Linked DNA regions of Macaca fascicularis. The protein of the gene in region 4 interacts with the protein of the main gene of each other region in a pairwise test. Links are inferred from orthologs where the notes say so. Each region holds a gene or a part of one and is shown on either strand. Other genes may lie near its edges.

Evidence for each region.
Region 1: the proteins of C1H1orf94 (region 4) and BOLL interact in binary tests that used the Homo sapiens proteins (3 or more experiments, as listed by UniProt). The two-hybrid records come from large-scale screens. The link is inferred for Macaca fascicularis from reciprocal best matches to the Homo sapiens genes C1orf94 and BOLL.
Region 2: the proteins of C1H1orf94 (region 4) and RBPMS interact in binary tests that used the Homo sapiens proteins (3 or more experiments, as listed by UniProt). The two-hybrid records come from large-scale screens. The link is inferred for Macaca fascicularis from reciprocal best matches to the Homo sapiens genes C1orf94 and RBPMS.
Region 3: the proteins of C1H1orf94 (region 4) and RAD51D interact in binary tests that used the Homo sapiens proteins (3 or more experiments, as listed by UniProt). The two-hybrid records come from large-scale screens. The link is inferred for Macaca fascicularis from reciprocal best matches to the Homo sapiens genes C1orf94 and RAD51D.
Region 5: the proteins of C1H1orf94 (region 4) and RBM47 interact in binary tests that used the Homo sapiens proteins (3 or more experiments, as listed by UniProt). The two-hybrid records come from large-scale screens. The link is inferred for Macaca fascicularis from reciprocal best matches to the Homo sapiens genes C1orf94 and RBM47.
Region 6: the proteins of C1H1orf94 (region 4) and ATXN1 interact in binary tests that used the Homo sapiens proteins (3 or more experiments, as listed by UniProt). The link is inferred for Macaca fascicularis from reciprocal best matches to the Homo sapiens genes C1orf94 and ATXN1.
Region 7: the proteins of C1H1orf94 (region 4) and VENTX interact in binary tests that used the Homo sapiens proteins (3 or more experiments, as listed by UniProt). The two-hybrid records come from large-scale screens. The link is inferred for Macaca fascicularis from reciprocal best matches to the Homo sapiens genes C1orf94 and VENTX.

Annotation. Positions count from the first base shown.
Region 1 is NC_088386.1:93,376,512-93,380,572, reverse strand, and holds the start of BOLL (protein boule-like), read left to right. Parts: upstream 1-1,261; 5' UTR 1,262-1,831; coding exon 1,832-1,852; intron 1,853-4,061. UniProt on the Homo sapiens protein: Probable RNA-binding protein, which may be required during spermatogenesis. May act by binding to the 3'-UTR of mRNAs and regulating their translation.
Region 2 is NC_088382.1:33,583,765-33,588,057, reverse strand, and holds the start of RBPMS (RNA-binding protein with multiple splicing), read right to left. Parts: upstream 2,801-4,293; 5' UTR 2,240-2,800; coding exon 2,174-2,239; intron 781-2,173; exon of another isoform or gene 738-780; coding exon of another isoform or gene 735-737; intron 1-734. Other genes in the region: uncharacterized protein, read left to right, coding at 2,813-3,574.
Region 3 is NC_088390.1:41,455,792-41,459,897, forward strand, and holds the start of RAD51D (DNA repair protein RAD51 homolog 4), read right to left. Parts: upstream 2,801-4,106; 5' UTR 2,555-2,800; coding exon 2,473-2,554; intron 2,113-2,472; coding exon 2,051-2,112; intron 1,562-2,050; coding exon 1,443-1,561; intron 1-1,442. UniProt on the Homo sapiens protein: Involved in the homologous recombination repair (HRR) pathway of double-stranded DNA breaks arising during DNA replication or induced by DNA-damaging agents. Bind to single-stranded DNA (ssDNA) and has DNA-dependent ATPase activity.
Region 4 is NC_088375.1:200,805,403-200,809,553, forward strand, and holds the start of C1H1orf94 (uncharacterized protein C1orf94 homolog), read right to left. Parts: upstream 2,801-4,151; 5' UTR 2,317-2,800; coding exon 1,997-2,316; intron 1-1,996.
Region 5 is NC_088379.1:39,762,384-39,765,883, forward strand, and holds part of RBM47 (RNA-binding protein 47), read right to left. Parts: intron 3,280-3,500; 5' UTR 3,249-3,279; coding exon 2,126-3,248; intron 1,070-2,125; coding exon 863-1,069; intron 1-862. UniProt on the Homo sapiens protein: Single-stranded RNA-binding protein that functions in a variety of RNA processes, including alternative splicing, RNA stabilization, and RNA editing. Functions as an enzyme-substrate adapter for the cytidine deaminase APOBEC1.
Region 6 is NC_088378.1:156,582,463-156,585,962, reverse strand, and holds part of ATXN1 (ataxin 1), read right to left. Parts: intron 869-3,500; coding exon of another isoform or gene 740-868; 5' UTR 709-739; coding exon 1-708. Other genes in the region: uncharacterized protein, read right to left, coding at 740-868. UniProt on the Homo sapiens protein: Chromatin-binding factor that repress Notch signaling in the absence of Notch intracellular domain by acting as a CBF1 corepressor. Binds to the HEY promoter and might assist, along with NCOR2, RBPJ-mediated repression. Binds RNA in vitro.
Region 7 is NC_088383.1:142,308,268-142,312,225, reverse strand, and holds the start of VENTX (homeobox protein VENTX), read right to left. Parts: upstream 2,801-3,958; 5' UTR 2,372-2,800; coding exon 2,131-2,371; intron 885-2,130; exon of another isoform or gene 728-884; coding exon of another isoform or gene 688-727; intron 573-687; coding exon 412-572; intron 331-411; coding exon 1-330. UniProt on the Homo sapiens protein: May be involved in ventralization.

The DNA.
Region 1 (4,061 bases), on a different chromosome or scaffold from region 4:
TTGAAGGCAAAGTAACCCAAAGTCAAACTTTTATAGTAGTGTGTACAGTAGTTATTACTGGTGTAACTTTTAATAGTTGTTACTGCTGATTCTTTAAAAATATATGGCAAAATGGTTAAGATCAAGAACTGTGGGTTGGGGGTAGACCCAGGGTTAAACCTCCTACAGCTTTAGATCTTGACCAAATTACTTATCCTCCAAATCTCTGCTTCATCACGTGCTATGACGATAATTGGAGCATCTATCTGAAAGGTTGCTGTGAGAATGAAAAGATTAAATGATACTGATCATAAAGCATTGTGCCTGAAACAAAGTACTTGATAAATGGCAGCTATAATAATCATCATTACTATAAGTTTATCCAGTTGTAATCATTTTAGCTACCTACTAGAAATATGTATTCTTTCCAAAGCAGTCTTCTTTCAGCTAGGCATGGTGGCGTGGGCCTGCCTGTGGTCCCAGCTACTCAGAAGGCTGAGGTGGGAGGATCGCTTGAGCCCAGTAGGTCGAGAATGCTGTGAGCGTGAGATCGCGCCACTGCACTCCAGCCTGGGCGACAGAGTGAGCCTTCGTGTCTAAATAGTTAACTGGACGGGCAGGGTGGCTCACGCCTGTAATCCCAACACTTTGAGAGGCCAAGACAGGCAGATCACTTGAAGTCAGGATTTCAAGCCTGGTGAAACCCCTTCTCTACTAAAAATACAAAAATTAGCCGGGTGTGGTAGCAGGCACCTGTAATCCCAGCTACTCGGGAGGCTGAGACAAGGAGAACCGCTTCAATCTGGGAGGTGGAGGCTGCAGTGAGCCGAGATCGCGCCACTGCACTCCAGCCTGGGCGACAGTGCGAGACTCCGTCTCAAAAACAAAAATAAAAATAATTAGTTAATTAATCATTAATTTTTTTTTAATGCAATCTTCTTCCAAAGGCGATCACAAGGCTGTTGGAGGCTGGAGCCGCTAAGTCGCCCCCTACCGCGCGGGTGGCTTCGTCCGGGACCATTCCAGAGGCTGTGCCACTGCTGGAGGTGCTCAGCGGGGCCGGGACCCGCTTGGGGCACGGTCCGGGGCGGGCACCGGAGCCCGACTAGGCTGAGCGGCAGGTCCTGACGAAGCCACCCGCGCGGCCCCGCCCGCCTGGCGGGATGAGTGACGGCGGCAACAGGTGCAGAGAGGCGTCCGCGGCTTCTCAGGAGCCCCCGAGTTTGGCGCGTCAGGCCCCGAGAGTCAGAGTTTGACTCTAGAACCTTCTTCGCATTACACCAGTCTTCGGAAGTCGCCCGTCAATCGGCTTCTTCCAGCCCAGTAAAGGCTTAAGGTCACCTCAACCTCTCGAAACCCACCAGTCCCAGAGGCCGACTCTTCTCAAGTGGAGGAGACGGGAAGGCGTGCCGTGCATGGAGCTTTGCCCGACCGCTCGCTCTCTCTTCCCCAGCCGTCTGAGAGCAGGCGAGAGGGGTCCCAGAACAGAGCCCTCGCTCCGCACGCCCCACGCCTGCCCCGCTGTGCCGTGCGCTCTGCCCCTGAGACGCCCCGGCTCGGAGTCCCAGAGCCGCAGCCGAAACTCGCCCGCCCGCGCCCCTCTCCAGCTTGCGGCGCCCGCCCGCACCGCCGCCTGCCACCCGAGGCGACGCCGTCTGCTTCTCCCCACCCGCCAGGTGGCAGGTTCAGGGCCCGGGTCTGAGCCTGCTCCCCTGCAGCTGCCACCGCCGCCCTCGCCGCCAGGGGGCGAGAGTCCCAGGCAGGACAAGCAGCGCTGCTGCCTTGGCGTGAAGGTGGTTTCAAACTTTAGGCTTCTCTTCCCTACCCGCGTCTCTGAAGAGCAGAGAGGAAGATGGAAACCGAGTCCGGGCAGGTGAGTACGGCGATCAGGGCCCCAGGGCGCGGGGTAGTGGGGAGAAGGAGCAGCGTGGAGCCGGTCCCTGAGCGCCTGGAGGGGCAAGGTGAAGACCCCAAACGCTCGCTATCTGGTTAGGAAGAAACGTGGCCAGGTGCCCCATCGACCGCTGCCAGGAGCCGCCCGCCCGCAGACCTCGTCTGGCTGTGTCATGGGGGTCAGGAAGGCGCCGCCACGGGGCCTGGACTGGGTGTAGACGGGCCAGGGGACCTCAGGCGCAGATGTTTCGGGAGGCGGCGGGCTGCCGGGCACCCAGCGGAGTCCGAGCAGATAAACTGCTTTCCCGCCGAAATTGGGCTAGGCAGCGTCTTTGACGCTCCCTCCGGCCGAACTTCGACCCATCGGCCCAGAGCGAGGAGTTGTCAGGGCGGTCGACGCCTCCACTCCCCGACTGGTCAGCGAGGACCGGAAGGTCTGAGAGACCTCGCGGGGGCCCGCCTGTGGCCCAGGTGGGATCCGGACACTGTAGCACTGGCTGTGCACCCGAGCCAGTCAGGGCGGACTTGGGGAAGTGAAGAAAGACGGCCCACACAGGCCCGAGGCGCAGCGGCAACGTGCCGTCCCGCCCCGCCCCGTCCCGCCGCCAGCAGCCAATCAGGGAGCGCCGCGCGAGGGGGGGGACCAGCTGCGCACGAGGCCAGCGGCGGGGTCTGTGCCGTTGAGGGTTCCCGCCACTGCTGCTGGCGGATTTGCGGGGCAAAATTTCTCGCTGGCTAGCCTTCTTTTCCCTCCCGCACTTTGGTGGGGAGGGGGTGGATCCTCGTTTTGGTGCCCAAGTTCACGATGACCCGAGAGAACTCGAGGAAGTTGTCGCCGCGGCCATTTCCCCCAGTGCCGCAACTTGCTGGCCTTGGAGGGGGAGGAGCGCCGAGGCAGTGACTGCGACGGTTAGCCCGCCCGTTCCTGCTGTCTTCCTTTGCAAAATAGATGCTAGATCTCGAGGTTGACTTAAGGGGAGGAGCCAGTGAGGGCACATTGCTTTGGAGGAGAAGTTTAATAAACTCTCTAGTGCTGGAAGTTTTAACAAGCGGAGGAGACTTCAGACCCGACAACAGTCCCCTTCTAGGTGCTTCCGTAACACGTGCGGAATTTATTGCTAGTTAGAATTTGAGGCTTTCTTTGTTGTTTAACTCAATGCATCACTAATTGTTAATAATGAACTTAGATGTTGCCTCTACCTAAGCCTTGCTATTGCTAACATTAAAATATTTCGTAGGCCTGGTGTGGTGGCTCACGCCTGTAATCCCAACACGTTGGGAGGCTGAGGTGAGCGGATCACGAGGTCAGGAGATCGAGACCATCCTGTCCAACATGGTGAAACCCTGTGTCTACTAAAAATACAAAAAAATTAGTGCACGCCTGTAGTCTCAGCTACTCGGGAGGCTGACGCAGGAGAATCTCTTGAACCGGGGAGGCAGAGGTTGCAGTGAGCTGAAATCACGCCACTGCACTCCAGCCTGGTGACGAGCGAGACTCCGTCTCAAATATATATATATATACACATATACACATGTGTATATATATATAGAATATATATATATACACACATATACACATGTGTATATATATATAGAATATATATATATACACACATATACACATGTGTATATATATATAGTAGACTGCTGTTATACTGTATTCTTTTGCCTTCAGCCTATTTGGCATATCGTGAGCAGGTCTCTCCTGAAGAAATGATTCACTTTTAGTCGTTCAACAGATATTCATTGAGCACCTGCTGTGTACTGTCAGTACTTTAGATGCTGCCGTGAAAAAAGCAAAACTCCTGCCCTAGTGCATTACATAATAGTGGAGACGGATAATGGACATAATAAGTAAATTATATCGTATGTTAGAAAATGATGAGGGAGAAAAATTAAGCAAAGCGAGCCCACATTAGAGCAGGAGCCTTAGGGACTGGAGGAGAGTGAAGTGAATTGAGTGTGAAAGGTTTTTCTTTTCTCAGGGAGTATCCTTTAGTTTCTCGAGATTGGAAATAAAGCACTGTTTACTTCCGTTCATTTCATCCTTCCCTCGATGAAATATAATGGGGTTTGTCTTTTACTTAAACTTGCAAACAAATTAGTACATCTTATTTTCAATAAGAGAATTTCATGAAGAATGATTTTTTTAATTTAGCAAATAGGTAACTTTGACACTGTAAACAAAT
Region 2 (4,293 bases), on a different chromosome or scaffold from region 4:
AAGGCAAAATTACCCGGATCATTCAGGCCACCTTAGTTTCTTTTCCTGAATTTCTGACATTATAAACCCCCTCTCTTCACAGTCTTATCTGTTTTGTACACGACATCTCTTGGACAACTTAGGTTCTGAAATCTTCCTACCAGTCCCCTTATTTTTTACATAACAAGTGTTTTGCTAAAAATATCGATACTTTCTAGAGCCTCATGCCATTCCTACCTGAAAAAGAACACTGTCAGGTAACAGGACAAGTAAGAGGCAGCAACCATACTGCAATGGTCCGCGATTATACAGCAATTATTACACACAACCTCGCAAGGACAGAGGAGCGTCCAGGAACAGGGCAGGCAATCCCTCGGTGCTGGCAGCTGTTAAGATGGGTCAAGCGGAAAAATGTGCCTTTTCTATACTTAATTTTAAGTGGGTATGATTTTTAGGACATTGAACCTCTTTTGCTACCCACCAAAAGGAAAAAAAAAAAAAGTTTTCTCAACTGGGTAAATAAAGATGGTTTGATATAATATTCTAACCCTGAGAAGCAAACAGATTGCACATTTAGCTGAAATAGGAAGATTTCTGAAGCGATAATTATTTTGATATGGTAAGTGAATTAGTTAACTATAGTAATTCCTAAAAAAGCAAATTTAAAAAAGCATTATTTTTAAATTTTTTTAAGTGGTAGGGAAAATAAATAGCAAAGCAGCCAGTAAAGTTCAAGAAAAAAAGTTAGAACATACCATTCAACTCTCCATTGCTTTGAAAAAAGAAACGCCAGTAGCATTCCTACACTTGTAATTAGAAAACATGCATGTAAACAACTCTTCAAATAGTCTTTTATAATAAAATAGAAAATGTCCTCGGGTGAGAAAGCAATTTTTGACTGACTGCAACTCATCTAGGTTTTCACTACCATACAACTGGGTAAGAGAGTAAAATCTCCGATTTTGCACTGTTTGGCATAGTCTCGCTCCTCTACCTTCTCCACCTAAATAGTTCCCATTTTCCAAGTGGACAATGTGCAGAGAACTTGTATGCATTAATGAATTCCTCTGCAATTTTGGTTTCACTATCAGAATTGAAGTTTGCACACAACAGTGTCTCAACAATGATCTCAACGTCCTAACGCTTTAGAATCCGTTTACCTTCTGTGTTCACCTAGATCAGGATGCAATACCTGTGTGAATCTTTTCGGGTCATATTGAGACATGCACTTTCCTGCATCTGCACACACTCTCAAGTTCCTCTAGAATGTTAAGAACTCAACTGTGTGTGATATTAAAAAGTACGCCAGAAGTAATTTCTTGGACTCCAGATAATGTACCTGCAGAAACAGTCATTTGGTAGGATACCACAAATACCCTACTACTGAATTCTGAAACGTTTGTTCCTGAGTCCGACTCCCCTTCTGACCACATCTACTCAATTTTGTTTCCACCGAAGGAACGCTCCGCAGTCACAAAACTTTCATCGTGAGGACGCACCACCTAAAATGCGTGCTCAGAAGTCAAAGTCCTATAAAAGTATCCTCGATGAGCATTTGGTGAATTGCTGCGTTTTTAACCCTCTTATTCTGCTCCCCTCATCTGCACGGCCCTAAATTCGCAAGCGTTCACCGCCCAGGTTCGGGGTCTTTGACTCAGCAGAGAAGAATGTGGCTGATGAGTTATCTATTAATCCAAAAACCCTCGGCTAGAAAGATATTTCACCAAGAACTTTTAACACGGAAAGGGAGGGGGCAGGGAACAGAGGTATCTTTTAATGAAAACTTTTCCCCGAGTTTCTTCCTTAAACTGCCCCCCCGCTACCCCGAATCCACACACAATTTCCAGCCCCAGCCCTAAGTCCTGACCCTCCGAGTCCCGATATCTGAGGTCACCCAGGAGTCAGCTCTCGGTTCCACTTTTTAAATCCCGGGCAAACAAAGCTGAGCATTATACTTACAAAAGTCTCCGAAAAGTCCTTAGAGTTACGCAATTTGGGGCCCGCAGACGCGCGTGGACACAAAAACACACTTTCCCGAGATCCACCCTCCCCGGGCCACACTGCGGGGCTGCGTCCCGGGCACGGGCCATGCCTAAACCTTCCACCGCCGCGCCCCGGGCCCGCGCCCGCGCCCCGCCGGCCGCCCGCACTGGGTCCCGGATCGCCCCCGCCACTGCACCGAGCCGCCCAGTACCTCCTCCTCCTGAAGGTTGGCCTCGCTCGGGGTGTTCTCCTTCTCGGCTTTGCCGCCGTTGTTCATCTTCCCGGTCCTTCCTCGCCGGGCCGGGCAGGGCTGGGGCGCGGGGCTGGGCGAGGGCGCGCTCGCCCACTGTAGCCTTCCCCGGGCGCCGGGGCTCCCTCGGGCGGGCGCCGCGGGCTGCGGGGCTGGAGCTGGAGCCGGGGCAGTGGCTGTCGGGCTGGGGCTCCCGCGGCGAGACTGCGACGGCAGCGGCGGGCGACTCAGGAAGTACGAGGGAGAGACGGGGCAGGGCGCGGGCCGAGAGCGGGGCACCGAGACAATCGGGCCCCGGGAGGGCGACCTGGATAGGGAGGGCGGGAGCCAGGGGAGGAAGGAAGAAGGAAGGAAGGAAGCAAAGGATGGGGCGAGGACGCGCGTCCCAGGAGTAAGCGCAGAGAGTTGGGGCTGGGGGCTGCAGCCGCTGGAAGGAGGGGACGGGGGTGCCTAGAGAGGAGGAGGAGGAAGAGGAGGAGGAGGAAGAGGAGGAGGAGGAAGAGGAGGAGGAGCGGGGCGGAGAGGCGCGGGCGGCGGCTGGGACGCTGGGACCCGAGAGCCGCTGAGTGCGCGCTCCAGGCAGGCTCTGGGAAGTCCGGGATGGAAGCAGCTCCCTTTCTCTCGTCTTCCTCCCTCCCCTCTCCCCTCCCTCCTCTCCGCGCCTCTCCTCCTCCCTCCGCCCTCCCTGGACGTGGGCTGCCGGCTGCAGCCCGGAGGGACGGGGCGCGGGACGGAGCCCCCCGCGGGAGGAGGGGCCGGCGGCCGGATGGCGCGCGCCGGGGAGGGGCCGCGGGCCGCGGGCGGAAGCGGCGACCCCAGCCCCAGACTCGGCGGCTGGTCGGAGGGCGAGGGCCCTGGAGGCCGAGGGCAGGGGAGGTCGGGTACTGCAGTTCCCTCGGCCCCCGGGGGCCCCGGCGTCTGCGCGCCCCGGGACTTCGGGGACCCTGCCCCGCCGGGGCCAGGACCGGGAGCTGGGATGTGTGCGACTTTTGTTTGCCGGCTTTTACCATGGGATTTGCACCCCTGGCCCTAAGCCCACCCTTCCCGAGCCAGACCCGGTTCTTCCCCTGCTGTTTGAATGACAGGATGAGAACTCGAGGGACACCGGGGACAGCCCCCTCCGGGCCGGCTTTTTCAGGACAGGGCTTCAAACCCATCTCCAGCGCGGGTCCTGCGACGCGCCCGGAGCCTTCCCCGCTTCGCTGCCTGGGCGTCCCGCGGCCCCCGACTCCTCTCCCAACTCTCACCCGACTGTTCTGGGATTGTTTACTTGGCCTCTCCCTCACCCTTCAGAAAGCTCCTTCCTGGAAGAAAAAACCACAAACTTACCCTATTTATCTTTTTAATCCCACGGCTATTTAAACGAGCTACCGGGTGTATAGTAGGCACTCAATAAATATTTGTTGGCAAAGTGAATATTCCTCATTGCAGGCAGAGCTCGGGGTCCACACGGAGGAATTTCAGAGGCTGGAAGCACACTTGAAGAAGAAAGGGGGCCTGGGCTTTGCACCAACTTCAGGATTGCGTACTTGTTTCCTCATCCGTTAAATGGGAGCAGCTGAATGTGTCTCCTAGCGTTTTCGAGATTGTAGGTTGATAGAACTATGTACAGCACCCAGTATTCATTCTTGCTTCGTTTAGGTTTACAATACATGGAAGCTAACATTATTATTAAGGAAACTTCCATTTTTCCCGGGCCTTAGAAAGCTTTTCCAATACTCGATCGTTAAAGCCTCTGTTTTTTTTGTTTTTTTTTTTTTGTTTTTTTTAGAAAAATGAGGGTCTCACTTTGTTGCCCAGGCTGATCTCGAACTCCTGGCCTCAAGTGATCCTCCGGCTTTTGGCCTCCCAAACTGATGGAATTACTGTCTGGAACCACTGTGTTAAACTCTTAGATTTGACTGCTACAAATGTATAAATGTGGAACTCCATGTATCAGTGGGTTCTGCCCCACTTCTTACTCCCAGGAATTCTCCGTCCCAGCCTGCTGCTCCTGTCCTGCACCAGTAAGTTTCTAACTACAGTATTTGCTTAACTGTTTCTCCCCACCCCCCAGCAGACATTCTTTATACTGATTTAAG
Region 3 (4,106 bases), on a different chromosome or scaffold from region 4:
TAAGCCCAAGGCCAATCGGCTTCCTGTTCACCACTTCCTCCTCACTGCTGCCTCCCTCGGTGCTTACACCTCTCTTGTATTCACTTGCTTTTCCCCTACACCCAACTAGAGGCCTTAAGGGCAGGGGCCTTGCCTCATTCGTGTGTATCATCTGCCCGTACCAAGCACCCAGCAGGCCCTTAGCCAGTGCTGGATGGATCACAGACTCAGACCCCCAACCAGGGAAAGCAAGCACCATGCTGCATGAACCCTGCCAAGAGAATGTGTTAAGGAAACAGAAAGGGCCAAACCAATCCAAAGACGTTTGTGGTGGCAATTATTCATCAATTTCTGAACAAATGGACCAGGAAAAAGGTCAAGACTCACTTGGTCAGCAAACGTCTGTCGTCTTTGCAACTCTTCCCCAACCCACCAAACAACGTGGCAGAATATAACTGCTCCTTTTTTTTGAGACAGAGTCTCGCTCTGTCACCAAGGCTGGAGTGCAGTGGTGTGATCTCAGCTTTCTGCAACCTCCACCTCCCAGATTCAAGCGATTCTCCTGCCGCAGCCTCCCAAGTAGCTGGGACTACAGGTGCCTGCCACCACGCCTGACTAATTTTTGTATTTTTAGTAGAGACAGGATTTCATCATTTTGGGCAGGCAGGCAGGCCAGGCAGGTCTCAAACTCCTGGCCTCCAGTGATCTGCCACCTCAGCCTCCCAAAGTGCTGGGATTACAGGCATGAGCACTGCACCCAGCCTGCAACTCCTCCTTTATCTGAACTCTCCTGTTCCCTACTGCTGCAGATGTGGTGAAGGAACCAAGGTCTGGGCCACATACTCCCGGGCTTGAGCCTCACCTTTGCCACTTGCTCCTCTTAGGTTAAAGTCAACTAAGGTTAATAATCTCTAACTGGCAGAGTCACTGAAGAGATTACCTAGAACATACGGGCAATGCCTGCACATAGTAGGCACTCAATAAATGTTCTCTCTTGCCATATCCTTAAGTAAAACAAGAATTAGGGCCAGAGAAGATGGTGAAAATAATGAGATACTGACATCTTGTGTGATAGGAAAGTGCTTCTCAACCAGAGGTAGTTGTGCCTCCCAGGGGACATTTAGCCATGTCGGGAGACATTTTTGATGGTCACAACTGGAGCAAGGGTGGTGCTACTAGCATCTAGTGGGCAGAGGCCAGGGATGCTGCTACACATCCTACAATGCACAGGACAGCCTCCAACCCCCAACAAATAATTACCTGTCCCTAAATATCAAGTGCCAAGGCTGAGAAACCCATAACCCTGTTATAGGATAAGAACTCAGAAGTCCTGACCCCTTTCCTTCCCGTCCATTATTGCTTAAAAAAAAAAAAACTCCTGTCTACTCAAGCATCAAAAGCAGAGCTGAGAGGCAGCCCCATCTTCCTGCCTCTCTCCTTCTTCCCCAAGTACACATACAAACCTGCCAATGCCGGTGGACAGGATGGCAGTGGAGGTCTTCAGTTCCTCATAGAGATCAGCGCCATTCAAGGGGAAAGCTGAGAACTGAGCCAGCAGCACCCGCCTCAGGGCAACCAGGGCCTGCCAAAGGGGCCCAGACTGCTCAGCAACGAATTGCCCATAGAAGCTGGCATCCCAGGGTCTCATTCACCCCACTTCTCAATATCTGAGACCCCTCTGCTCCCTTTGGCGTGGGATAGACTTTTGTTGTTGTTGTTTTAGACAGAGTCTCACTCTGTCGCCCAGACTGGAGTGCAGTAGCATGATCTCGGCTCACTGCAACCTCTGCCTCCTGGGCTCAAACCATTCTCTTTCCTCAGCCTCCCGAGTAGCTGGGATTGTAGGCGCCCGCCACCACACCCAGCTAATTTTTGTATTTTTAGTAGAGACAGGGTTTCACCATGTTGGCCAGGATGGTCTGAAGCTCCTGACTTCTGACTTCAAGTGGCCCGCCCGCCTCGGCCTCCCAAAATGCTGGGATTACAGGCGTGAGCCACCGCGCCCAGCTGGCTTGCGATGGACTTTTAAAGACACTCAGGTTTGGAGTGTGGAGATAGATACGGAGCTCACCTTGTAAGACAAGCCGCATTTCTGAGCTACCTCCTCCAGGTCTGCAGAAACCAGGTCCACCACTGAAAACAAAACACGTATAGCGGATTGGCAGAGAGGCGGGGGCCCTCCCACACTTGGTTCTTCCTCATCTGTCAAATGGGGTGTCAATTCTACCTCTCAGCAGGCCTTCTCAGGAGGCCACTGTGAAATCACAAAGCTGCAAGAGCCGGCGCGGTGCCCTGCACACAATAGGAATCCTCCACCCTGCTTTAGAGCTTGGCTCCCCACGCCCACCATTCCTGAGCCTCTCCAGAAGCGTGGCCCTCTAGGAATGGAGGAGAAGCTCCCTGCAAATATGCCAGGGCAGGGTGCCAGCCCTCGGGGCCTGCCCAGGCTGTGCGCGGCCCGCGCGGCTCTCTGGCACGCGCACACCCGGTCACCTGTCTTGATCCTGCGGCTCCTGAGAAGTTGGATCATCTCCTGGGTGAGGCCAGGGCACAGTCCGACTCTGAGTACGCCCATGTTCCCTGCAGGCTGGAAGAGCCCCAAGGAGGACTGCCAGTCACGTGGGCATTCGCGGGGTCCTCTCCAGACGCCCCTCTTCCACCCCTTCCTAGAGGGGACACAGGCGCGCTGGCTGCAGGAGGAGGAAGGAGGGAGGAGGAGGCGGCACCAAGGGTAGGGCTGGGGGTTATCGGCCCTCCCGGGATCCGCCGGGATTCCCGCTTCCAGAGCCCGCCAGCCCGGTCGGGCCGCGCTGCCGCTTCCGGGTTCCAGGCTGGCGCGCGGCGAGGACCTGGCCTGCAGCGCCATCTGCGGGCCGCGTGGGGCAGAGCCGCTGCGCCCCCTACACCCAGCCCGCGGCGCGCCACTCTCCACCGCCCACGACCCGCTCTGCGCTCAACACGCCACCCACGGCCGCATCCGGCCTCTACTTTCTAACGCAGCACACACACCGGCCTTCTAAAGAGCCTTCTGTGTGCCAATTTCCGTTCCAAACGCTGGGGACAAAATGCGACCCAAGACGACCCGCCTTTACCCCCAGGGAGCTTACCTGTGAGCGAGGGACAGACAATGAAAAGGAATCACAGAAATCACATCATTACAGATTATACGACAGGTGCCAAGAAGCAGCAAAGCACCCAGGGACACCTGCGTCTGTTTTTCAAAAGTTTGTTTTGTTTTGGTTGATACAGGGTCTTGGTCGGCCGCCCAGGCTGGAGTGCCCTGGTGAGATCTCAGTTCATTGCAGCCTCGACCTCCTGGGTTCAAGCGATCCTCTTGTCTCAGCCTCCTGAGTAGCTGGGACTACAGTCAGGCGCCACATTGCCCAGCTAATTTTTGTATTTTTTTTGTAGAGGTTTCACCTCTACAAAATGGGGTTTCACCGTATTGCCCAGGCAGGTCTCGAACTCCTGGGCTCAAACAGTCCTCCTGCGTTCGTCTCCGAAAGTGCAGGGATTACAGGTGTGAGCCACCGTGCCTGGCCTTTATTTATTATTTATTTATTTATTTATTTATTTTTAAGGCAGAAAACCTTAGTTATATAGAACACACACAAAAATACATAATTTGGCTTTTTTTTTTTTTTTTTTGAGACGGAGTCTCGCTCTGTCGCCTAGGCTGGAGTGCAGTGGCCGGATCCCAGCTCACTGCAAGCTCCTCCTCCCGGGTTTACGCCATTCTCCTGCCTCAGCCTCCCGAGTAGTTGGGACTACAGGCGCCCCACCTCAAGCGGCTAGTTTTTTGTATTTTTTTAGTGGAGACGGGGTTTCACCATGTTAGCGAGGATGGTCTCCATCTCCTGACCTCGTGATCCGCCCGTCTTGGCCTCCCAAAGTGCTGGGATTACAGGCTTGAGCCACCGCGCCCGGCATAATTTGGCATTTTTAAATGTTCTTTGCCTCATCCACAGGAAGAAATAAAACTGTACATGGTTATCTCATCACAAACCTGTGAGGGAGGCGCTATTTTTTATCCCTGTTTCACCAATGAAGAAACTGAGGTTCGGTGAGGTTAAGTCACTTGCCCAAGGTCACCCAGCTAGGCAGCACAGGGCTGGACTTCACATCCA
Region 4 (4,151 bases):
CAAATTCTTCAAATGTCATGGGGCTGAAATGGAATCTGAAACCAGAGTTATCTGACTCCACCAGCACACTGCCTTTATTTTAAGAATAGCTCATTGTGTTCTATTTTGTTGACAATTAGGATATTGTTTATTCATCTAAGTCAGTGGTTTCCTATCTCTTTTCTCAATAGCAGAAACACACTTTTCAAATTCAGCCCTTCTCAGAACTCCAGTAAGTAAAACTGATAAAAGCTAAACAGCTCTGGCTGAAATGGATTTTGGGGCCCAGCAACCAGCCCACTTGACTCCACGGTACCCCTGAAGCACCTTGAGGTATATGGAGCATAGTGTGAAATCCCAGATTGAAGCCGCCAACAACAACAACAACAACAACAACAACAACAAATCCCAACCTGAAGAAGTACAAGTTAAGGGCAGCCTGATTTGTATAATGCATCTTTCATTTCACTGTCTCCCATCACATCGGATCCTCATTATCAACTCTGAGGTGGACAAGGCAGTGCATATCATCCTCAATTTGCAAATGAGGAAATAAAGGCCAAATGGAGTTAAGCAGCTGGCCAAAGGTGCACCAGTTCAATTTTCAGCCAAGTGCAGACTGGAAGTAGAGTCTGTCTCCATTAACTCCATGTGACCTGGCAAAGAGGGTGCCATCTACTGGAAATTGCTACTGACCCTTGGTCCACGAAGTGGACAATCAGCTCCTTGGCCACTGAGAGCTGAGCACAGCCCTCCTGCCAAGGCCCTGTCCCGGAGCAGATGGCAATGAGCAGGGAAGAAGGGCTCAATGCCACTGAAGGGCCTGACAGCAGGGTTTTGGCTGTAGATAGGCCATTCCTATCTGAGCCATGTCGTGCTGAGCACAGGGCAGGGAGGCAGGACTAGCCAAAGTACCTTCCACCTTCATCTGCAGTAAGTAAATGAGCCCACAGAGGGACAGCAGGTAGTGCAGAGGTGGGTGTCCGTTACACTTTGCATTTCTTCTTAGCTCTTGCTTTGGCATCCCTGAAACCTGAGGCAGCTGATAAATGCCTGAATGGCTCCCCAACTCCAGAGCATCTCTGAACTGAGCTGTAGCATGTGTTGGAGCAGGCAACACTTAATTATCGGTTAGTCTTTAATTAGCTCTTAATTATTAACACTTAATCCATCTGTAAAATGGGGACACTAATACCTGCCTCATAGGGACTCTGGGAGCATTAATTAAGTTTACAGTCCACTTTGAAGATGCAAAATGTGAAATAAGTGCTCAACAGTGGTATTAATAACCACAGCAGATTTACCTTCTTTTCCTAATGAGGTCCCTTTTTCCTCTCTGCTCCTTCCTTTCCTTTCGAATATCCATCCCCAACAATATCTGCCCAACTTTGCCCTGATGGAGAAACACTTAGCTCTGTGTTTCCCAGACACAGGATTTCCCATCCAGGAAACGGGCTATTTACAGCCATCTTCCCGCACTTTAATTTTCTATTATGTCCTCTGAATATGTCAGTGCCTTCCCAGTAAATATTTTGATGTGTGCTCTTGCAGCAGCTTCTGTGGAGGCTGAATGGGACAGCTGCTCCCTGTATTAGGGAATTCCAGATGTGATTTAAAACCATCAGTCTCATCCATGTGAATGCCTAGCCTTTAGGTGGGAGAGGGGAAGGATCTTCTAGTTGCTTCTGGGGAAAGTCACGAGCCATGTAACCCTTAGCCTTGGCTAGGGTGGTTTTTCAAGGACCTCAGATTCACATGCGTTTAGGATGAGAGATGTCTGCTTAGTGGGCTAGTGAAGAGGCAGCCTGGAATATAGCCCTAATCTGGCTCTTCACCCACGAAACATCAGAACCTTGGTCAGCTCTTCTATAACGCTTGGACAAAGGACCATGGAAGGGGCAATATACAGCCTTTAGGGTTTCAGCAGCCTCAAGGGTGGGCCAGAACATTCCCCTAGAAGGTCAGACTTCATCTCCTCCCTCCTCCCTTTCTGCCAACGGAATAGGGGGGTACTCACTCTTCTTGAAAGCTGAGCTCATTGCCTCTTAGAGTTCCAGCCACGGGGACAGACAGCTGCTCCATGGAGGTCCAGGGCTGTGAGGCTTCAGGCAGGCCTTGAACTCTCTTCCAGATTTCATGGCAAGTCTTGTCTAGGCTGTCTTGGGGTGTGTCCTGGTGGATCCAGATGTATCTGGGGAATGGGCCCAGGGCGCAGGGGCGCTTGGCCACCAGGGCCGAGGATGAAGGAAGCCCATTCCCACTTGCCATCCTCCTCCGCTCTTTCTGGAAGCCCCTCTGTCCACCCAGGGCTAGAAGACATCCACCACCACTCCTCATTCACCAGAAAGGGAGATGAGGATGGGTCTTGGCAGAAGTGGGTCAGTTCTGTCTGGCTGTCGCTCCCACAAGGTGGTTAGGTTCAGAGGCCTTCGATTTGTGTGGGAGGGGTGGGTGGAGGACAGTTTTCTTTTGGGGAGGGGAGGGCTTATTTTGATTTGTTTTTATTTCCTCTTTCCTAACTTTTGCCGCCCTCCCCCTCTCCCTCAGAAGAAAATATTTAAAAGTCAACAAAAACCAGTAGCTTAGGAACAGTGGAATGCCCCGGAGCTCAGGAACCAGGCGCCTGGGCGGGCAGAATGACATCTGGGAACAGCTGGAGGGGGAGGGCTGGCTCTCCCCACAGTCCCTGGCACTGCCCCCTTGCGACGCCGCCGTGACACCTTGCGGCGCCTGGGCTCAGCCCATGCTGGCCCGCTAGGACACGCGGAGAACTGGGTGCGGGCCTGACACCATGGTAGGCACCCGGGGGGCGGGGCCCCGCAGGAAACGCTCGCCTGGGCGTTCCCAGGGAGCCCCTCGCAGAGCGAGCGCCAACGGCCCGGTCCCCGCCGCCGGCCCAGTTCTTGCTTTACTCTCGCCCTACCCCACCTGCTCCTGGTCTCCCGCTGCTGCTCTGCCGCCCCGGGAAAGAAGGGACGAGGCGTGTGTGGATGGGCCCACAGCCCTCAGTCCCGGCCCCCAGCAGACCCCTGCCCTGGCCGCGCCGCGCTGCGGGATGGGCACCGGGAAGGGCCCAGCAGCTCAAGAGCGCGCTGACTCGGCAAGGCAGGCTGGGCCGGGCGGCTCCCACCAATTTGCCCTGCCAATGGCTCCCACACCCTCGCAGTCGTCGAGCGGGGGAATTCTTTCTGTGGGTTTCAAACGCAACGGCTCGGTGCGCGGGACGCCCTGGGTTCGGAGCCCAAGACCCGCCGGTGGGGTGGGTGGGGGTGGGGCCCAAAGGACCCCAGAGCGCTTCGGCGGATCAGAAGTCAAAGCCAAACGCGCCGCCGCCCCACTTCACCGCTCCACACAAACCTCAGCTCCTGCCTGGGGGGCCCCCTCATCCTCGAGTTTAATCCTAACTGCCATTTTATGGGGCGCTTGCCCTGTGCCAAGCGCTGGGCTCACATTCAATCCTATCAAAGCTCGTGAAATTAGTACCACTTTTTATTATCGTTCTAAATGGGAGGAAAGCGAATCTCAAAGTCATAAATGATAGTGTCCAAGGCCCACTAAGAAAAGGGGAGCTGAGATTCAGACCCCAGCACTCTAGGCCTGATCTAGCCCTTGAGCACTGAGACTGCTTCAGTAGGTGGGCAGGAGCAGGGGTAGGAGGTCCGAGGTGCTGGGAGAAGGGCTAAGTTAGCTGTTTACTGATCAACAGGCCCCTACCCTCACTGAAGCGGCTTCATTCAACTGGGCACTGACACAGTACCTCCTCTGAGGGAGACTTTCTGGTCCCAAGAGTCAGGGCGTTGTTTCTTTAATAATACTCCTGGAAAGGAAGAGCAAGAGGGTGGAGAAGGAAGAAAGAAGAATGGACACAAATAGAAGAAGATGGCAGTCTATAAATGCAGGGCTGGGTTGAATCCTGACACTTCCCCGCTGTGTGACCCTAAGAACTTTCTGAACTTCTCCTATCCCCATTCATAATTCCCCCAGTACTGATGCAACCCCTCCTTTGTGCCCGATGAGTTGCTGGGCACTGAAGAAGCATAAGGGTGGGCAAAAGTGGCATGGTCCCTGCTCTCATGGAGCCTGTATACTAGTGAGGGGAGATCGATGCAAACTAGCCAAGCGAGTAAAGCAGCAATAATTACAGATGCAATGGGGCTCTGATGGAAAATAAC
Region 5 (3,500 bases), on a different chromosome or scaffold from region 4:
TTGCTCAGACCATGACAAGGGACAAAAGGTGCTGCTGAATTCTGAAGGGGAATTTTCTGCCCTTCCCAACAACTCTCAGAATGGGCCAATAAGCTCTACCCTCTGACATCAGATGGTTGGGGCAGAAATAGGCCTGAGTAAGGAAAAGATACGTTTTACCTGACAGAAGATACAGAGAGCCTCATGTTCTTCCTTTCTTCCCCCCACAACTCTCCCTACTTAGCCACAGACTGAGAAAAAGACTAACAATGGGTGACAACCCTTTGAAAATCTTACTGCACGGCTGGGCGCAGTGGCTCACGCCTGTAATCCCAGCACTTTGGGAGGCCGAGATGGGCGGATCATGAGGTCAGGAGATCGAGACCATCCTGGCTAACACAGTGAAACCCCATCTCTACTTAAAAAAAAAAAAAAAAAAAAATATATATATATATATATATATATATATAGACAAATTAGTTGGGCGTGGTGGTGGGCGCCTGTAGTCCCAGCTACTCTGGAGGCTGAGGCAGGAGAATAGTATGCACCCGGGAGGCAGAGCTTGCAATGAGCCGAGATCATGCCACTGCACTCCAGCCTGGGTGACAGAGTGAGACTCTGTCTCAAAAAAAAAAAAAAAAGGAAAAAAGAAAACCTTACTTCAGGCAAGTTTGATTTGACCATGGTCAAAGCTACACCATCCCTTGAAGTTCTAGATAAGGAGGTCCAGGGGGCCACTTTCTTTTTGCCTTGTCCCTAGCTGCCTGGGAGAAGAGGAACCCCTGTGCAGATGTGAGATCCCCAGAAAGGCTTGGATTCACTTCTAACAGAAGGGCTGGGGTTTATGCTGAATGGGTGCATTCTCAATCTGGTTTATACTGACCTGTACCAGGTTTAATGGCAACTGGGTTGACGGTAGGGATTTCCAAATTCGGCACAAGTTCATATCCTTTTTCTTGCTGCTTTCCTTTCCCTTCATGATATCGGCTATATATACCACGGCCAGCAGAATATCCCCCGAGGTAGGAACCCCGGGGCCCCGGGGCTCTGTTGCCAGCTGCACCTCGCCCTCGGCCTCTTATGCTGCCTGCTTGTAATAACAACACAAAAGATGATGAGCAACCAACAGTGATGGTGCTGGAGGCAGACCTCAGCCCTCAGTTCTCAGCATTTAACTGCTCCAGTCTAAGTTGCAGGTAGCTACACCTTTGCTCTTTAATAGGCTGGTAAAGATGCTTCCAACATTCTATTTCAGCCTAGATTTGCATCCTAAGCATGTCTGCTTAGTACAAGAGGCAAACTTGCAGGGTGAGTTTCTAGGATTGTATCTGCAATTTCAGTAAAGAAAAACATTCATAGAATACCCACTCCCCCCCACAAAAAACTGGGGCCAGGTGCGGTGTCTTGTGCCTGTAATCCCAGCACTTTGGGAGGCTAAGGCTAGAGGATGGCTTGAGCCCAGGGGTTCAAGACCAGCCTGGGCAACATGGTGAGACCCTGTCTCCAAATATATATATATATATATATATATATATATATATATATATATATATACACACACACACACAATTAAATAATTTTTTTTTAAAGTTAGATTTGGAAGGGGATTTGCTAGTCCACCTTCCTCATTTCATGCTTGAGAAAACAGGCCAAGGGGAGACTAAAGTGACTAAAGTCACAGGCTAGTTAATCAGAGAACAGGACCCAGAACCTATGTATCTTATTTTCCAGGTAATGCTGCGTTTCATTACATCCTAACCAATGATGACAAAAAACAAAATTAAAAATCATTGACTCCACCAACATCTTAAGATTTAATATCACAAGCAGGTTTTAACCTAAGCACCAAGAGATTGGTGGACGAGCCCCTAACCCGGTGGACCGCGGCAAGGCAGAATGCCAGTGTTTGCACACCCATGTGATTTTACCGCTCACCCCAGAACGACCTGTATTTCTATCAATGCTGCAGAAGTGATGGCCTTCGGTGCCAGCAAAGAACTAGACCCAGAATGCAAACCCAAAAGGAGGGTGGGAGGGCCTTCAGCACCTACCAGCTCAGCAAATGCCAGCCACGATATCCCTGGTGCCCCCTGCCTAGGAAGCAAAGTTCTTGAGGGCCCCACCCAGGAGAAGAGCCCCCACTAACCTTTCACGAAGTAGTCCCTGTTGGGCCCGATGAGCGCGTTGTAGGGGTAGCCGTAGTAGGCCAGCGTGTAGGGGTCGCAGGAGTACACGTAGCTGGGCTGCTGCGCCGCCTCGGCCGCACCGCCACCCCTGGCTGCCTTCTGGTAGCGCGAGTACTGCTCCTTGTCCACGGGCTTGGCCAGCGTGACCTCCAGGCACGAGCCCTCCAGCTCAGTGCCGTTGAGGTTGTTCATGGCGTGCACGGCATCCTCGCGGCTGGTGAAGTGCACGAAGGCGTAGTCGCGGATCTTCTTGACGCGCTCCACGCAGCCAGGGTTGAACTGGCCGAAGCTCTTCTTGATGGTGTCCTCTGTGGTCTCGATCATGAGGTTGCGCACGTAGAGGATCTTCACCGTCTCCATCACGTCCTCGTCCACATCGATCTCGGGCTCGGCCCAGTCCACGGCGATCTGGTGGCCCCACAGCTGGATGCGGCCGGGCATGAGCTTGCGGCGAGCCATGGCAGCCGCGCGGTGGCTCTCGTACTCCACGAAGGCGAAGCCACGGTTCTTCATCTTGTCGGCCGCGCTGGCGTAGACGATCACGTCCAGCACGCCCTCGGTGACCTTGGCGATCTCCTCCAGGATCTCCTCGCGCTTCTTCATCTTGGGGATCCCGCCGATGAAGAGGCGGCAGTTGTCTACGCTGCAGCACACGCCTAGCAGGCGACCCGGGCGGATCTCGTAGTTGTTGAGCTCGCGCACTGCGCGCTTGGCCTCGTGCTTGTGGCAGTACATGACGAAGGCGTAGCCGCGGTTCTTGCCGTCGAAGTCCATCATGAGGCGCAGCTCGTAGATGCGGCCCACAGCCTCGAACACGGGCACCAGTTCGTCTTCGTACACGTCGCGCGGGATCTTGCCCACGAAGACCTCGCAGCCGCGCTGCGGGTGCGGGCCCTCCCAGCCGGGCGGTGGGCCGCCGTACTTGCGCTGCCCGTTCTCCTGCACCATGCTGTAGCCCGTGCGCTCCATCAGCGCCAGCAGTGCCGCCTCGTTGGGCGCGCCCGCCACGCCCTCGGGCACCTTGGCCGAGGACCCGGCGGCCGAGTCACTGCTCATGGCTGCGGTGGAATCCTCTGCGGTCATAATGTCAAAGGCATCCACAGCTGGCGGAAACCTGGGGAAGCAGAAAGGAGCGTGAGTGGGGAACCGCTGGATCTTGCCTCCTTTGGGTTGTTTCGCAGCCTTGCAAGTATGCATTAATAGGCCACGGGGAAGGTGAGGTGATTTAAATGAGAAATAGGATGGAGGTGTTCTGGAAATGCAGCAGCCCTACACTTGTCTAAAATAGTCAAGTTATCTTGCAGTAAGAACCAGAAGTGAGTTAGGAAAAAAAAA
Region 6 (3,500 bases), on a different chromosome or scaffold from region 4:
GGAAATGTGGACGTACTGGTTCTGCTGGGCGGGTGGGGGGGACCCCGGGGTGATAAGCCCTGGAGCCCTGCTGAGGTGGTGCTGCTGCTGCTGCTGCTGCTGCTGCTGCTGCTGCTGCTGCTCAGCCTTGTGTCCCGGCGTCTGGCTCAGACTGCCCATGTTGGCCAGCAGAGTGGAATAGGCCTCCAGCTGGGAGCGCTGGGATGGAGTGGTGGCCCCGGCGGCCGAGGCCACCGCACTAGTGACGGGGTTGGCGGCTGGGGGGATCAGCTGTGACGGGATGAAGCTGGCGTAGGTCCCACTGTATTGGGAGGACCCAATGAACTGGAAGGTGTGAGGCAGGTGAGCGTACTGCACGGGGGACACCGGGGTCCCCGGCTGCGGCGTGGCGTACGCGGCGGGCAGCGTGGTGGCCACGGGGACAGACCTGGGAGCGCTGGGCGGGGAGTAGTCCAGCCCTGTGGACAGTGCTTTGTGTAAACCTATTCCCTGTTGTAAACCAAGCTCCACCGAGGTCCCTGCTGGCCCATGCCTCCCGCCCCCGTGGCCCCGGCCACCAGGGTTGCCCGGGAGCCATGCTGTGCCCTCCACCCGGTGGTTGTCGCTGGGCAGGGCAGGGGCCTTCTCCTCGGAGGACCGGCTGGTGGCGGGGATCTCGCGCTTCTTGGGAGGCAGGCATTCGTTGCTCCGCTCTTGGTTGGATTTCATTTTTCGCCGTCCCCCCTCCACGGTGACTGTTTCACTGTCTGGCTGGCTCTGATTTTAGTCTGATAAACGGAAAGTCACATTTGATTTCTGTAGGGGATCCAGGCTCTTCATGAGGAATCATCTCCCCGTGGGTACAATCCGCCAACAGCAGCTCTGGATGCTGGGAAAGGGAAGAGGGCAGTGACAAAGGGAAAAGGAAAGGGAGGAGAAAGGGAAGGAGGGAAAGGACATCAGAACATGAGCACCGGGGAAAGAACATCTTTGGCAAGATTAAGACTAGGCCCTGGACTCAGTGTGAACTCCCCAAACCCAATCCTACCCCAAGCACTGAAGCAGATAAAACACTACCCAGCACTTTGAGAGGCCGAGGCAGGCAGATCACGAGGTCAGGAGATTGAGACCATCCTGGCAAACATGGTGAAACCCCGTCTCTACTAAAAATACAAAAAAAATTTTAGCCAGGTGTAATAGTAGCCTGTAGTCCCAGCTACTTGAGAGGCTGAGGCAGGAGAATCGCTTGAACCCAGGAGGGGGAGGTTGCAGTGAGCCGAGATTGCACCATTGTACTCCACCCTGGGCAAAAAGAGTGAGACTCTGTCTCTAAAACCAAACCCAAACCAAAACAAATCAAAACAAAACAAAACAAAACAAAAAAACACTAGCCATGGCAGCTGCACATCGCAAAGGAAGATTATGAAGACACTGGGCAAGTGAACATTCTAACACACACATTTTTTAATGGAGTTAACAACTCCCCTAAGATGTTCTCAATATCCTCTCTCCTTTGTTTTTTTTCTCCTTTTCTTTTCAGAGGGTAGATGATGCAGTTCTTAAATTTCCTTTTCAGAAATGTTGGTTCCATTTCTCACCTCTCCTTCGCCTGGCTGGAAAATAAAATGAAGCCTTTGGAAAGCATGACACCAGCTGGACCCTGCCCTCAGAGCCAGGCATTGAGAAAAAGCAGGTTAGCACTGAAAGTCCAGAACAGTCCTTGCACTTGATTTCTGAATCCTCATCTGCCAGAGCCACTACTCTCCAAGATTCCCCTTAGCTCTGGGTCCATACTGGACCTACGATTTCCTCTCCCCGATACACACACACACACACACACACACACACACACACACACACACACACGCCAACTCAGCAGGGGCCGCCAGAAAGAATCCTGTTCTCTGCAAGTTTCAAAAGTATTCCCAGTACAGTCACTAATATGATAACAGAGTGAGACTGTTAAAAACTGAATTTGACTATGGTTAAAAAACACAAATACCATACAAAAATAGGGCTAGTGCACTGAAAGTTTTCTTAATGGGTTACATGCTTGGTTTGTCCGTCTCGCTCTTCCTTTCCAAGTTGACTTTGAAGTTCTCCTTCACACTGTCCCCTTTCTCCTTGGAAAGGAACAACTCACCATTAACACTAGAAACAACAGCTCTTTCAGATAGATCAGATCAGTGTGTTCAAACCTGGACATACAAACGGTGACCCTGAAGCCAGTTCTTATGGACAAGTATCTCAGTCTCTTACTAACCACTGAAGTCTGAGTTACCGCTGCTGTGTGGGCAAACCAATGCCCAACAGACAAGAGGCCGAACATCAGTGGAACTGCCATGAAGCAGGCTAGCAAGCAGCAGATGTAATTGCTTCTACAGGTAGCAGCTGTAGGTATGCACAGCACCACGTGCTGTGATCCTGAGAGCCTGTGGGATTGGGCTTTGGGAACTCCACACCCTTGGGTTTTGGTATCTCACATCCAGACTGTCTTTTCAATGATCTGATTTTCCTTATTTCTTTATTTCTTTGGAGAGATGGGGTTTTGCTGTATTAACCAGGCTAGTCTTGAACTCCTGGCCTCAAGAAATCCTCCTTCCTTGGCCTCCCAAAGTGCTAGGATTCCAGGCGTGAGCCACTGTGTCTAGCCAATAATCTGATTTTAAAACAAACACAATAAAGTAGCAGCCTTCAGCATTCAATCCTTGTCCATGCTGAAGCAACAGTGAAATCCCTATTGAAACACAACCCCCTTTCTCTCCTCTGCCCTCCTAATTTGTAATTTTTTTTGGAGGGGGCAGTGATTTTGTTCTTTTTTCTTTCTTTCTTTCTTTTTTTTGACAAGGTCTTGCTCTGTTGCTCAGGCTGGAATGCAGTGGCGTGATCTCGGCTCGCTGCAACCTGTGCCTCCTGGGCTCAAGTGATCCTCCCACCTCAGCCTCCCAAGTAGCTGGGACTACAGGTGCATGCCACCACACCCGGCTAATTTTTGTACTTTTTGTAGAGGTGGGGTTTTCCCATGTTGGCCAGGCTGGTCTTGAATAGGTCTCAAGTGATCCACCCACCTCAGCCTCCCAGTGCTGGGATTACAGGCGTGAGCCACTGTGCCTGGCTTGGAAGGGGCAATGATTTAATGGCCCTTGTTGGTTTTGCTCCAGCATCATCAATGAACATCACAGTGAAATGACAAATGACACAACAGAAAGTTCTCAATCCTTAATGTTTTGTGAGCAGATATCTAGGAAGGCAGAGGTTTAGAAATTTGGTGTCTCAATATCAAAGGACATTTCAGTAAGAATAGAATTTCTCATACGACAAGAGAGGAGCTTAAAGACTGGGATGGAAATGAAAAATAAGGTTAAAAAAACCTAAAACACTTATGCTGAAGAAATGAAGTGTTGAAGGAGTAATGTCACTTAGGTGGTTTTTTTTTTTTTTTTTTTTTTTTTTTTTTTTTTTTTTTGAGATGGAGTGGAGTCTCACTCTGTCACCCAGGCTTGAGTGCAGTGGCGTGATCT
Region 7 (3,958 bases), on a different chromosome or scaffold from region 4:
GGACAGGGCTGGTCCCGGTGCAGGCAGGCCACTTCCTGTGGTTGGGGGGTGGTGCGCCAGAGGTTGCCTGCAGCAGGAAGCCCCCGTACAGGCCAGGGCCTCCTGTTCCACTTGGCAGAGACCCCAGAAGGAGCCCGGGGGCAGCATCAGAGCCTGGGGCCCAGGCAGGGGTGCCCAAGGGCACAGCAGCTGCAGGCCATTGGCAAGGCCAGAAGACGGTGAGTGGAAAGCTGGGGGCACGTGGAGAGACCCCAGGAAGGGGCTGTTCGGCGGGACTTCTTGCATTTGCCGTTTGTGTTTCATCCGGCGATTCTGAAACCAGGTTTTTATCTGCAGGAAAACCAAAATCAGAGCAGGGGTGAGACTAGGCCACCGGCCCACCCTTGCCCACCTCAGCCCGGCCCGCCTCACCTGGACCTCTGAGAGCTGCATCTCCCTGGCCAGCCTCTTCCGCTCAAGAGGGCTCAGGTACTGGTGGTGCTGGAAGACGCCCTCCAAGGTGCGGACCTGGTCCGTGGTGAAGGCTGTGCGGACACGGGGGCCCCGCAAGGTATTTGGCTCCTTACTCAACCCTGGCATAGAGGGTGAGAGCATTTGGCTGAGCCTGCCACCCCATGGGGCAAGCCCCGCCCACAGGTAACAGGTGAAGACAGCATGTTGGGGGCTGGGCAGGGCAGATCTTCTCACCTGACAGTGACCAGCAGCCCTGCCGCAGCCTCCAGGTCATGTGCGTGCGGAAAGGGGCTGAGAGAGGTGACTCAGGGGAGGGAGAATGCTACCAGCAGCTTGGGCCTGCCCTCCGCTCGGCTGGCTCAGCTCACTCAGTTCGGCCCCATCCCACACTTCCCTTCCGAAGCCGGTTCCCAGGATACCCTTTCTGCAGACTTCCAGGCAGGTAAGGTAGAGTCCATTACATGCAAAGGCCTGGGGACCCACCCAGGGAACTCGGTCCCTGTCCTGGGCTCCGGCTCCTCAGCCAGCAGAGCCCGGCTCAGTTAATCCCCAGGCCCACCTTGGTCAAGTCTGTTTTCTAATTTCTAAGTTAAGGAATGGGGGCTGGCACTAAACAACCCCACAAGGTGGTGTGTGTCTGGGTCCCAGGAAGGAGGCCAACGTGGCGAAACGAGCTCAACATTTAACTCAAGTCTGACCCAAATGCTCACTGGAGTTTCTGCGGAAGGAAGCGTATTTTACAAAATCTGTCTTCACGTTAGCCTGAAAGCACATGGGAGACCCGAAAAGCAAATGCCTTGTGGCGGGGAGGGCTGTAGGACTGGGATCAGGAAGGGGGTTGGGGGACAGGAATGGTTGACTTTTTTGGGGTGGGGCAGGATAGCTAGCTGGGAAGAACATATTTAAATTTTCATTTCCCTGAAGTACAAAGTTACTCCATGAGGATCAGTCAAATTTTTAAAAATGAAAACTTATGTTAACCCCACTTTTGACCAAGTACTACCTTAAACCTAAAAGCGGCAACGATGTCACAAAGACTAAAACACAAACGCGGAGAACCTTTGTTCTCAGCAGACAACAGAGCATCTCCGGGCCACAGACCGAACTTCAGAGTTTCTGCAGGCACCGGGTCACCGCCGCCCTACAGCAAACCTGCAGGCTCTTTAAAAGACAGCTGTGCTCCAGGTGGCCTGGAAGGGGCTTGAGCCTAGATGCTGAGCAGGCACTGGCTTTGCTGGGGGCAGAGGGGGCTTGGCAAATCGTCGGACCCCTGGAACTGGGTCTCGATGGTTGCGGGGCTGGAACACTAGGGGCACAGGTGCCCACGCCCGCGCTGTGTTTCAGTGAGCGCCCGGAATCAGGGCAGAGAGGTGCGGACAGGGACCCCTTGGACGGTCCCTCGGCACCAGGCCGCGGTGGGACACAGCTGAGGAACGGGGTGCCAAGGGAGGCAGAGGAGCCCACCGAGGGCTCAAGGAGAGAAAATCCCCGTCAAGGCTTTGGTTTCGAGGGAAGCTGCGCTCCAGTGAGGCGCAGGCAAGGCCTCCGCCGGCCCTCATGGACACGTCCCCGGCCCTGTCCTCGTCCGCCCCGTACCGCGGGGAGTTCAGCCGCCGGGCTCCTGGCCTCTCCCCCACTCCCATCTCCACCTGGGAAGGACCCCCGGCCCGGACCTACCAGCCACGGTCCTCTCCGGCGCAGGCAGATCTGAGGACGTGGCGGCCTCCTTGATGCTGATGGCCTGAGGGGGCTCCCGGGCGCCGGATATCTGGCCCGGGCCAGGGAGGCTCCCCGGGGAGACGTCGGCAGGCCTGGGCGAGGGGGTCAACCCTGAGCAGCTGCTCTGGGAGAGCCAGTCCACAGAGCCAAAGCTGGAGGGCTGCTGCTGGCCACGAGGTGGGGAGGAGGAGAGGCGCATGGCGGCCAGGTGGGCCGGAGGGAAGGCCGGGCGGGGCTGGCCAGGCGCAGGATCCACCTCCGGCCTCGCCGGGCGGCGGCGTTTATAAGCCCGGGAGGAGGGGGCGGGAGCCCGGTTTGCATACACGGCTAACGCCCGGATAAGCAGCGCCTAATTGCCTTCGATTCAGAGACACAAAGGAGACCGTTCACACCTCCCCGGCTCCTCGGTGTCTGGGGCAGGGGCGGGGCTGCGGGCCCTGGTTAATGGAGAGGGGACGGTTCGGCATCGGTCACCTCCTTTCATCTCTCCCAACCCCCACCCCGCGGGCCGAGGCTGCTGGAAGGTAGGAGGGTCCCGCTCCCACTCGGGCCTGCCCTGGGCGGTGCCGGGCGACCTCTCCTCTCCAGGGGGACGCTGGCGCCTGTGCCCAGCCCGGACACCCGAGGGCGAGCAGGCTTCAGGCTGGGAGAGTCAGGGCGGACTCAGCCGGTGCCCGCGTGCGCTGCGTCCAGGCTGTGCGGTCGCGCAGGAACCGAGGGACGCTTTCCGGGAAAGACGCGGAGGGCTCGGGGAGCGGCGCGCGGGGACGGCAATGTCGGGAGGGGCCTCTCGGGGCACTCGTCCGCTTCCAGCCCTACTCCGGCTCCTCTGGGGGACTCACTCCCGGGGCCATCGCAGCAGCCTCCGCATGCGGGCGCGGGCGGCTCCCTGACCCCATCCGGAGCTGGAAGGGCCGGAGCCACTGCCTCGCGCGGCGGGGTAGACACTCCGCTTCGGCTGCGGGACTGGCGCGTCCCCGCCAAGCCGGGCTGTCCCCACTGTGGCCAGGGCGGGGGCAGAGCCGCCGGGGACTGTGGAGCCCAAACCTCACGGGGACGCCTTGAGCACGGGCTCCCGGGACGGTCATCGCGACGCGCGGCCGCTGCTCCCACGAACCTTGGTCCCGAGTTGTTTGCGTCTCCGCGTCCTGGGCGTCCCCGGGTCGCCTGCGCCGTCGGGGTGGGGCGCGGGGCCGAAGTGGCCGGGTGGGAGGCAGCCACGCCGCGAGCGTTCCCTCCGGCCTCGGACCAGCTTCCCGCGCGCCGGGACACACGGACTCGCGTTGCGCCCACGCCGAGGGTAGGACGGTGTCTTCCGCGCACTGGCTTGGGGTCCACACTGCGTCTCCGGCGGCCGGGGTTAGGCGCGGGCGCAGGTCCGAAGCCATGCGGGGTTTCGGCGCAGACGGGGTCCAGGGAGCAGCCCCGACTCCCGGCCGGGTCCTGACCGCGGTTGCCTCAGCGCCCACCCCGCTCTCCGAAATCAGAAAGACCCGCGGGCCTCGCCCCACGGTTACGCCCAACCCGGCTATCCGCGCCTCCCGGGCTGAGAAAAGAGGGAGGAGCCCGGGAGGGGGGCGCTGGGGCGGGACCTCACGGGGAACAGGTGGGTCACAGGTGACGGGGTCGGGGAACGGACTGCGCCGCTGCTGACCCTGGTCTTCCTCGGACCCTGCCGACCCAGTTAGGCCACCGGGCCCTCAAGGGGGAGGCTGGCAGGGGTGGGGCGCTGGGGGCTTTGGACGTGGCCTCGGGGGTAAAACCAGGAGGGCTGGGGGGCCAGGAA